Drosophila melanogaster: one gene and its partner. The protein of the gene in region 1 purifies or fractionates together with the protein of each later gene. This does not show direct contact. Each region holds a gene or a part of one and is shown in the gene's direction. Other genes may lie near its edges.

Region 1 (6,386 bases):
AGGACGCTACAGGATACTGGTTACCGGGTACCGGGTACTGGGTACTCGGTATACCGCACCCGTTCACACGCATGACCGAATTCCCATTTTACGCCCCGTCTCTTCCGGGGCCATCGGTCGTGGGCCAAAAGTCCCAGCGGAATCGATGCGGCATTATTATTATTATCATTATTAAAGGAGTCGATATGTGGCGATGGCAAATCCCGGCCAATGCGTATAATATGCCACATGTCCAACCCACTACATCTGAACCCTCCCCCACCCCTCTGATTTTGTTGTATATATGTACATACATATATATTTAATTTTTCCAAAGAAGCCACAAGCGGCGACCGCAATTTGTATCTCATGTGAATTGGATTGCACATGTCAGTATTAGTCATCAAGATTTGCACTTTAGGGCCGTTGCAAGTGTTTTGTTTAAAAAAAAAATAATACTAATAGTTAGTACCCACAAATCACTTAAATATGTATCAATTCTATCTGATTATTATCTCACACCAGATTAATCAAATCATTACTTTTCTTTTGAGTTTACAAGCTAGGAGTACTTCATGGGATAATAAATCCAATGCATCGAAGTGCAATTGCAATCAGAATTATGCGCATGCACACAGTATATATGTATGTATAATCACAGAGTAGTTGGCGCCCCCAAATCCATCACCTCCTCCTCCTCTCTCCCCCCCCCCCCCCCCTTTGAGCTGTGTGTACGTGTTGGCCTATTGAAACAAATTGTAATTAAATGAAATGTATTCCAGGCCGCTGCGACGCAGGCTGCAGCCGGAGGCAGGATCTCTCATTCTCCCTCGGTTTGGGTCACCATGTCAACCAGGTCGCCAGGTGGAAAGGGGTCAACAGTGGCTATGACTGTGGCCGCAAGCATTTTTCCACTTATCCGGGATTAGCAAAAATGCCACATTAAACTAAGTAAACAATTATCGACAGTGGGGCGATATTTGTTAGCTGCATCAAAAGGTAACAATAACTACGTACCCAATCAACCTGATAGCTTGCAGAAATGGAATAAACTTGGGAAGACGACAGTATTTAATTGTATTTAATTATTCACAAAAAGCTCGCCCAGGGTGCACAACAATTAGCATTGTGTACTTTCGCTTGCATGAGTAGTTTTCAATGTCTATTTCAATTTTATTGCTCACTGTTCTGGAAAAGAAATTAATAACAAAACATTAAGAAAACGGCATTGACTCTAATTTGATATTCTTGTAAACAATATAAACTATTAAAAGAAATAAATCTTACAAATCTTACAAAGACATTTTTAAGTTTCTCCACTTCGCTATTTATGTTTTAAAGTCTCCACAATTAAGCTAAGCCAATAAAAAGGACACAAGGATATTCCTCTTTCTTATCTAAGTTCCCCACCTCCTCCGATCACAGTTTAATTCTCCAATTTGCCATAGTTTAATTCTCCAATTTGCCATAGTTTGACTCTTCACTTTGCCATATTAAAGACTTCTACCAAGACTAAAGTCTCCACTGAAACAATCAAAGGATTAGTGGGTAAAATTATCCACGGGAATAATCTACTACCACTAATCCTTTGATTATGGAGACTTTAGCCGTATGCAGGATCACTCTTATCATAGTTTTCCACCACTCGATCGCTTGCCAACACTGATGCACATTATATCGATCTATCGAGCGCGCGATCGGATCTATTGGCGGCAAAGCGCAACCGCAACTGCCATCGCTAGTGTGTTTTCACCGCCTTTTTTATTAAGCGAATAACAAGTGAAGATTTGCTGGGGGAAAACAGGAGCCGCAGGAAACAGGAAACAGGCAGACAGAGAGTACAGCAGAATGCACGCTGGCGTTGTTAAGACGCCGCTCAGCGGCAGGAAAAAAGATGCGGCTGTGCCGGCCAAATCAGCGGAAAAGACGGCCAGCGGTGGCAAGAAGTTCGTGCAGACGCGTTTGCCCTTTAAGTTATTAACGCCAGGCGGTGGGGCGGTGCCCACATCCTCCTCCTCCTCATCGTCCCCCGCCACTATCGGCTCTGGCCCCGTCACTGTAATCCTGGATGAGGACGATCCCGCTCCGCGCAAGCGAAAACTTTCGTACGACGATGAGTCGCCATCGGAGGGCACTGGCTGCTCTACGGGGCAACTGCGACGTTCGACCAGCAAGGAGAATCTGGATCTGGCCAGTTCCATAGCCACTAAAAAGGTCAAGACCACGGATTCGGTAGTGGAAGATGTCATAGAACTGGATGAGGACGAGGCCGACAAGGAGATAGAGGACCAGGATCAGTTGGTAGAGGCCAAGTCCTCCAAGGAGGTCAAGTTGAAGCCCAAGAAGTCGGAGGGCAAGAAAGGCTCGCCGGCACCCATACAAATCAAGCTGCCATTGGTCAACAAACGATCAAAGCGCAGAAAATCCCTGAAGAAATCTGAGGAACCGCTGGAGACTTCGACCGCGGATGTTGCCAAGGGGGACAGCGAGTCCAGCGATGACATAGAGATTATCGCCGAAGAACTGAACCCCCAGAAGAGGCAAAAAGTACAAACGCCGCGTGAGAAATCCCCAGAAAACAGCTCTACAAGCGGCAAGCACACGGAGGAGGTCATGCAGAAGAATGGAAAGGACTCAAAGAAGCAGGAGGAGTCCATGAAGGCGGTCAAGGAGTCGAAGAAGGAAGAGCCAAAGACCGCAGAACAAAATAAAAAGAACGATCAGGCCACAATAGATCTCTTTATGGGAAAGAAAATGGAAACTAATAAGAAGGATAAACCGGAGGTCAAGACCACAGCTAAAGACAACAAGAAAGATCCACTGATTGCAGAGGATTCCAAACCAAAAGAAGTCCCTAAGAAGGAAACAAGCAAAACCGGAGGAAAAGGCAAGAAGGAGGGAGCAAAACCAGCTGAAAAGAGTAAGAAAGAAGAGAAGGAAGACAGCACAACAAAGTCAAAGAAAGAGAAAGCAGACTCACCTGCAAATAATCAAAAAGAACAACAAATTGGAGTCAAGAAAAAGACTTCTGAACCAGAAGATGCATCGAACTCACACAAATCGGTGACGGCCAAAAAGGATTCCAAGAAAGACGAGGCATCTACTCAAGTTAAGTCGGACAACGAATCTCCGGAAGCAGCAGAAATCTCGATGATCCTCTCGACCAGCGAGGCCAACAGTTCCAGCAGCGAGCACGAGATGGATGCGGATACGGACACCGCGGCCACCGACAGACCCTCCGCCCAAAAGGAGACTCGCCTGAACAGGAAGAGTCTGCCGGAAGTAACCGGCGCCCCGAAGGGTCTTACGCCCAAACAGCAACGACTCATGGAGCAAAGGAAAAAGGCTCGCGAGGAGAAGGAACAAAAGCTGGCGGAGGAGCGTCGCCTCAAGCAACAGGATAAGGAGCACCGCGAGCAGCAAAAGAAACAGGAGCGCGACGAAAAGGAACAGCAGCGGAAGCTGGAGAGGGATCAGAAGGAGCAGCAGAGGAAGATGGAAAAGGAGGAGAAGGAGCGCAAGCGACAGGCGGAGGTGGACTCCAAGAACGAGGAGAAGCGCAAGCGCAACGAGGCCAAGGAGGAGGTGCAACGCAAAAAGGACGAGGAGCGTCGCAAGAAGGAGCAGGAGCGTGAGGAGGCCGAGCAAAAGAAGAAGCGCGCCGCCGAGTCCTTCTCCAAGTTCTTCGTGCCCAAGCAGCCCAAGTGCGGCAGCGGATCCAACAACACATCCTACCTGGAGCACGAGCAAAGCAGCTGCGACAGCTCCAAGGCCAGCAGCCAAACGCTGGCCTTTCGACCATTTCAGATCAAGGACGACATGCTGCTAGCACCGATCGTGCGCAACTCGCTCGGCCAGGAGCAGCGCTCCCAGCTAGATGGACTTTTTCGACACCGGGACGAGGAAGCTGACGACGAGGAGGAAGAGGAGGAGCAGGACATCGTCAGACGAAAGCCGCCGAATCGGGCTAATCTCTATCTTAGTGAGTTGAGCAGCGGACGGCGCAAGCCGCTCAAGATGCAGCGCGATGTGAAGCTCCAAAGACGCACCAAGGACGAGGAGGATGATGACGATGTTCAAGTGATAGGTAGGATATGGCTGCAAGATATTAAAGAAGCATTTGTTCTTCACCAATCATCTGCATCTACAGATTACCTTTCACCGGCGGGTCTGCCCATCGAGGTGGAGCAGCCCAAGCAGCTGACCCGAATGAAGGCCAAGTATCTGCATTTCGCCGACAACCGGAGGCCACCGTACTACGGCACCTGGCGTAAAAAGAGCAGCAGCATCTCCGCCCGACGCCCGCTGGCACAGGATAAGGTATGGATCACTTCTTCTGGCTTAAATATCATAACACAAATATCAATAATCATATAACGCAGGTGCTCTTCGACTACGAAGTGGACTCCGATTGCGAGTGGGAGGAGGAGGAGCCGGGGGAATCGTTGAGCGCTAGCGAGGACGAGAAAGAGAAGGAGTCCGAGGAGGAATCGGAAGAGGAGTACAACGAGTGGTACGTGCCGCACGGACATCTCAGCGACGAGGAACTGCAAAACGACGGCGACGGAATGGAAGACGGCCACACGCGGGAGGCGCAGAAGGCCAAACTCCAGGTGCTGCAGCAGGAGTTCGCTCAGGAAATGAAGAAGCAGACGAAAAAGATCAAGGCGCGCCTGTTGGGTCCCGTTTGGCTGGACGAGAACGGCAACAAGTCCGAGCTATTCCCAGCTATCTTTGCCCACACCATCGACATGTACGCCTGTTGGCAGGTGGAGCCACTCAGCCTAGAGCCTCCGCCAGAACCGGAGCGTCAGGATCAGACGCCAGAGCAGCCGGTGCCGCTGCAGCTGGACGATCGTCTCATGCAGCAGCTGGTGCGCCTTACCCACGGCAATCGGAACTCGAAGACGTTCCTGATCAACGAATATTTAGAGTACCTGAAAACCCAAGCGACCGCCGAGGCCAATCAAACAACGCTGCCCTCAAAGGCTGTGCTGCGCGAGAAATTCGACGAGCTTGCCAGCTGGAAGACCGTGGAGCTGAGCACACCCGAAGCCGCTGCCGCCAGTGCCAACAGCGCCAAAAAGGGCAGGAAACCGAAGAAGCGCCTCTGCTGGGTGGTCGCCAGCGATATGCTGGAAAAGTTCCAGCTGCCGGATCTCCAGTTGCAGAATCAATGGAACTACACGTTGACGCCCAAGGTTAGCGACGGACCAGATGCAGCGCAGCAAGAGCAAAGTCCACCAGCGGATGCGGTACCAGCCGCCTCGCCCGCTTCCAACCAGACCACAAACTCGGCACCCACAACGCCCATCAGTGGACAGACGCAGGCGGGTCAGGGCGTCAAGAAGCGGGCCACCCTGATCATGTCCGTGCCCAGGGATCAGCCGATTCCCTCGGCCACCAAGAACAAGCTGATTAGCCAGTTTCTGCAACGCCAGAGCGATGCCAGCAAACCCAAGGAGAAGATGCAGGAGAAGCCACCGCCCATTGTCTTCGATGATGTGGTGATGCTCTCGGATTAAGACTAGGATTAAGCTAGATCCCCTAAGGATCTTCCGCTTCCTGCTAAGCGAGTATTTTAAGAATACACATTTTTTTTGTCGCTAGTTTCACTCGTAAGTTGATTTAATTTTAAATGTTCCGATGTACGTTCGACTTGTATGTCCTTCTCAGCCAACCCATCCCCACCAGGGTCACCCCTGCCCCAACCAGCATCCCACCCACTCGATCGCAAAGTTTTTAAGAAGTTGAGCAACAGAAGCTCGCAGGATTGCAATTTTCATTGAGCCAACTAAACATATATAGTATATATGCAATAATACACTACCTACCTGATGATGATCTTTCATTTGATGGCGATTTTGGGTTCGCATTGGAAATATATAGACACAATACATAAATCTATAGCTACATTTTTCATTTCAGTCCCAAATTATTGGGGGTTTCTTGGTGGAAATCAGTGGAAACAGCGCTTGAAGTTATTTTTAAAACTTGTTTGTTTATTCTTTTTGCCATTTTTGTTACGATTTACGTTTCAATTAAATGAATTATTTAATATACATTTAGTTAAGATTCCCGACAAAAAAAATTAGAAGTGTGTGTTTGGGGATGTGTTGTCTTTAAAAACGTGGACGTGAACGTGTGTCGTACCATTAGATCTGCAAGAGTTAGAGTCCCATCTACATTTAAATACGATTATCCGATTATCCATTAATTATTGCTATTGTAATCGTTGTTTAATTGTTATCTGCCGTCGATATTAGTTAACCGCCGCCCCCCGTTTATCCTCCTTCCCACGTTCCCAAAAGTTTGCTATGCTAACTAAAAGAGCCGAGCATTGTGAGGAAATCTCAAGTTAAAAAAAAAGTGCGTTTACACAGGCGATTATTTTTGAAATAACCGGA
Region 2 (4,951 bases), on another chromosome or scaffold:
GTCCGTGCACCATTGAGTCATCCGCCTGGGTCAAGGCCATGCAGAACCCAAATACAACCGTAAGATTTTACAATTTTATGTAATTAGATCAAAGGCTAATCCATATATCCATGCTGTACAGAACGATGAGCGTGTGAAGATGATGCAGGCTGCCTGCGATCGTCACCAGTTGGGCTACCAGGATGCCATGTGCGGTCGTGGCATCGACAGGCATCTGTTCTGCCTGTATGTGGTCTCCAAGTACCTGGAGGTGGATTCACCCTTCCTCAACGAGGTGCTCAGCGAACCCTGGCGCCTCTCTACTAGTCAGACTCCGCACGGCCAGACGCCCAAGATGGACCTGAAGAAGCATCCGAACTGCATCAGCGCTGGAGGCGGCTTTGGGCCCGTGGCCGATGATGGTTACGGTGTGTCGTACATTATTGCCGGAGAGAACCTGATATTCTTCCATATCTCAGCGAAGACTACGTGCCAGCAAACGGTAATGAGGAGCCCTGATTCATGGCATGGAGCACAGCTAATCGAATTGTTTTCTTTACAGGATGTGCACCGCTTCGCTCAGAACATATCGCAGGCTCTGTCAGACATTCGCAGCATGTTCGAGCAGCACATGAAGGACCATCCGAAGCCCGCCAAATCACTCACAAACGGCAAATCCACATAATCCCGTTTAGTCCATGTAGTCGAGATTCTTGTTAGCATTTGTTTTTACCCCCCTAGTTGGTCGTTTTAAACACATCTGATACATCCGTCTAGTTCGAAATGAAGTGCAAAAGTCGTCGTGAGAGTTATACATAAACAATGCAATTTTTTATAAACAATTGTGACTTGGCTGGTTTTAAGATTTAGTCTTTAGATACTTTTGCACAATATTTGATGTTTCTCAATCAATTAGTCTGTAATCGAAGAAATCGCGTAACCTTAAGTGCTATAAATATATTTCATTTTAAGCGTACGATTGGCCTTTGTCTCTATCTCTATCACGTCGCCAAAGGATTGGCATGTATAGTTACTCCATTGATCTTCTTGTCCACATGGGGACGATAGTTCTTGGGATTGACGGGCAGTTTCTCCAGTTCATCCAGGGCATCGAATCCATCGATCACACGGCCAAAGAGCGTGTACTTCAAGTCAAGATTTGGCTGGGCGGCATAGGTAATGAAGAACTGGCTGGCATTGGCGTTCGGTCCGTTGTTGGCCATGGAAACCATTCCTCGATCAGTGTGCTGAAGAATTAAGTGGTCAAGAATTAAAGGATTTCTTCTTGTATCTTGGGAATCTTTTAGACTGAAAAACGAACCCAACCACATGACATATTAAAATGTAAAATGATATGGATGTCAACATACATTTTGAGATTCATGTGCTGGTTACATTCTAAGATTAGATACAATATACCCTTTAAAGCCGGAATGCTGGGTATTAAAGCCAGCTGTCATGGCGCAACTGAATGAGGGTTTTTCTGGTAAAACCTAGGTAGCCGGCTCACCTTAATGGTCTCCTTGAATTCGTCGTCGAACTTCTGGCCCCAAATGGACTGTCCATTCTTTCCGGTGTTCGTAGGATCTCCAGTTTGGACAATAAATCCCTTGATGTTTCGGATGAAGACGCAGCCGCTGTAATAGTCGCTCGCACACAGGGCGAGGAAATTTTCGCAGGCCTTGGGGCAGGCATCGCAGAAGAGCTCTATTTTGAGGTCACCCACGTCGGTGTGCAGCGTTACAGACTGCAAACAACACAACAAAATCGGTTAAAACTGTAAGAAATCAGATATTCCAACTTTTGTTTACCATTTTAAAAGTGATTGTGCAGCCCTCGTTTCGATATGCAATCGGTCCATTAACGATAACAGAAATCGAAAACAGCACTATTTGGTATTCCCGTGACCGAAGGTCACACTTTTAGGCGCGAATTCTGCCGCATAAAGTGATTTTTCTCTTCGCACTTCAACTAATCAACAGCGGCACATTAAGTAAACAGGATGAAGTGCAAGATACCCGAGATTTCGTGGCACAACCGCGATCCTGTCCTGAGTGTGGATATACAGCAAAATGGCCTGGGGCTGCGTTCTCCGACGATATGCCGCCTAGCCTCTGGTGGTTCGGATGCCCATGTCCTCATTTGGTATGTTAACCGAAGTGATGACGCCGAGGGCGTGGATGTGGAGCTGGCCGCCGACCTGTCCCGGCATCAGCGTGCCGTCAACGCTGTCCGCTGGTCACCGAACGGAGAACTGCTGGCATCCGGCGATGACGAGAGTGTTGTCTTTATATGGAAACAGAAGGCCGACCACGAAGTTGTCAACATTGTGGACGCCGATGGCTGCAGTGAACAGGACAAGGAGGTCTGGTTGACTCTCAAGGTACTGCGCGGCCATCGCGAGGATATCTACGATCTCAGCTGGGCGCCGAACTCACAGTTTCTGGTCAGCGGATCCGTGGATAACACAGCGATGCTCTGGGATGTGCACAGTGGCAAATCACTGGCTATTCTAGATGACCACAAGGGCTATGTACAGGGCGTGGCATGGGATCCCTGCAATCAATACATCGCCACCATGAGCACCGATAGGTAAGCAGTACAGTCCAAAATGTTCGAACTTTAATCGAATGGAGTTAAATTTCTTTTAGACAAATGCGGATATTTGATGCCAATACCAAGCGAGTTCTGCACCGAGTCAGCAAATGTGTACTCCCAGTAAAAGAGGACCACGAGATGCACGGCAAGAGCATGCGATTGTACCAAGATGGAACCTTGCAGACCTTCTTTCGCCGCTTATGCTTCACACCCGATGGTAAGCTGCTGTTAACGCCGTCAGGAATTACCGACTACGATGGTGTTGTGAAACCCATAAACACCAGCTATGGGTTTAGTCGCCATGATTTGTCCAAACCCGCCTTTGTGCTGCCCTTTCCCAAGGAATATGCGGTGGCTGTTCGCTGCTCTCCGGTACTGTACCGTCTGCGACCGTACAATGCGGAGAAGAATCCTCCGATTATTTCGCTGCCGTACCGCATGATCTATGCTGTGGCCACAAAGAACGCTGTGTTTTTCTACGACACCCAGCAGCCGGTGCCGTTTGCCATTGTGTCCAACATTCACTATAGCAGGCTTACGGATTTGGCCTGGTCGAGCGACGGCACCGTCCTGATCGTGTCCAGCACCGATGGCTACTGCTCACTGATTACCTTCGAGCCAACCGAGCTGGGCGACTGCTATGAAGATATGGAAACAGTGCTGAGCGTTGTTCTAAAATCTTCAGAGAATGCAACGGTGTTGAAAAAGAAGAGGCAAAAGCTGCGCAAGGTATCGTTGGATGAACCACGGAAACCACTGCAGGAAAAATCGAAACCAAATACAATTAGAAGGGCGTCCGAAGCAGGTATCACAGAGGTAGGGGAACCCGAGTTGGATGCTGAAAACGATTCATCAACGCACAGTGTCAGTTCGAATAAAACGAACAGTCCCAAAACAAAAGCTAGCGAAGAGGAGAAACCCACTCCCATCGCCATCAGGCGTTCGCCCCGTAAAAATTCGACTGCACCCATGCCGATTGCTATACGCAGAGCTCCGCGTAAGCCCGAGGATAAGGGGAATAGCGAATCGAGCAAGCCCAAAGACGAAATGGAAGTTACTCACACAAAAACGACTCAAGTGCAGAAAACAGTGGCATCACCTGTCAAGCGCAAGGTGAGCACAGAGGCAGTGCCTCCAGCAGAGACATCACAGCCGGCACTTGCAGTGATTCCGGTGTTCGAGAAGGAGATCATCAGTTCTGATGATAAGTTCGAATCGCCTGAGAAGAAGTCCCGACCCGCAACACCAATTCAAGTGCGTCGCCAGCCACGAACTCCTGGCAGCTCCAGCCAATTTAATCTAACGCCGAAAAGCCAACCCGCCAAGCAAGCTACTCCCATTGCAGTGAGGAGAACTCCACGCGTACTCATCGAAATGCCGGTGAACTCGCCTGTGGTCCCAATGGAGGAGGCCATGGATGCCTGGCCCCTCGACGAGAGCATCACACCCCTGCCAGCGACAAAGAAGGATTCTCGAAAACCCTTGCCGGAGACTGTAAAGACCGAAACGAAACCAGCGGTAATAGAGGCCAGCGAGGCCACCTGCGAGCGAACTGAGGACATTCGTCTGGTCTACGAGGATACGCAAGAGGAAACGCCAAAAAATCCGACTGAATCGGGGCCATCCACGCCGAATAACAAGACGCCACGTCGCGTGTCCTTGCGAACCATATCCACGCCCAAATCAAAAAAGAAACTTTTAGAGTAGACAATGCAATAGATTAGACTTAACAGATTTATGTTCATAAGATTAAGATTTTTGGGATCTTTGGGGATACCCCATACAAAATTGTAAAAAATAGCCAAAATTCTTCCTAATATATTCCACAATAAAACGCAACACAAGGTTTAGAGGTAATTGTATTGCTTTGGCTTCGGGATCTTTAAAACGAAAATTGCAGTCAAAATGCAGTAGTAATTTGCAGTTTGTACAGTTTCAGTAGTTCCTATATCAACATACACGATTCTTCTACCTGTGACAAAAGTCATCTGATAAGTTATGTGACTGTACTGGTCAACTGTACCACGAAATCCTCAAATTAAAAATGCTTCAAGAGGGTTGTTCTACCTGGTCCCAAGTTAAGTTTCCATGAATTTGCACGGGGACGTATTTTTTGGAAGGACTTTGTGAAAAGACATTTATTACCAGACAGCTAAATATTTTCAAGCAAAATTGCGACGAAAACAGATTTTTTACTTTTCCGTGACTAATAAGTGGCACCAAATTTTTTAATTTTCCCCTTTACTTTTTCACCACTTTTCCTCCTGATTCTTAAAATTGTTTGAAAGTCGTGCCATGCAATCTGTCCTAGCGCGCTTCGTCACTACGTGGACTGCCGTCGCCAGTGATGTATTTTCGGACCCAGTAGATGGGT

What was found.
Region 2: the proteins of Caf1-180 (region 1) and Caf1-105 purify together in Drosophila melanogaster (affinity purification with western blotting; 3 studies listed by BioGRID, with this or other methods). This does not show direct contact.

Annotation. Positions count from the first base shown.
Region 1 is NC_004354.4:8,601,630-8,608,015, reverse strand, and holds Caf1-180 (chromatin assembly factor 1, p180 subunit), read left to right. Parts: upstream 1-1,711; 5' UTR 1,712-1,827; coding exon 1,828-4,066; intron 4,067-4,129; coding exon 4,130-4,299; intron 4,300-4,361; coding exon 4,362-5,504; 3' UTR 5,505-5,879; downstream 5,880-6,386.
Region 2 is NT_033778.4:10,465,476-10,470,426, reverse strand, and holds Caf1-105 (chromatin assembly factor 1, p105 subunit), read left to right. Parts: upstream 1-1,886; 5' UTR 1,887-1,981; coding exon 1,982-2,571; intron 2,572-2,630; coding exon 2,631-4,284; 3' UTR 4,285-4,426; downstream 4,427-4,951. Other genes in the region: whd (withered), read left to right, coding at 1-59, 122-481, 542-664; CG11777 (uncharacterized protein), read right to left, coding at 981-1,226, 1,490-1,726, 1,791-1,793.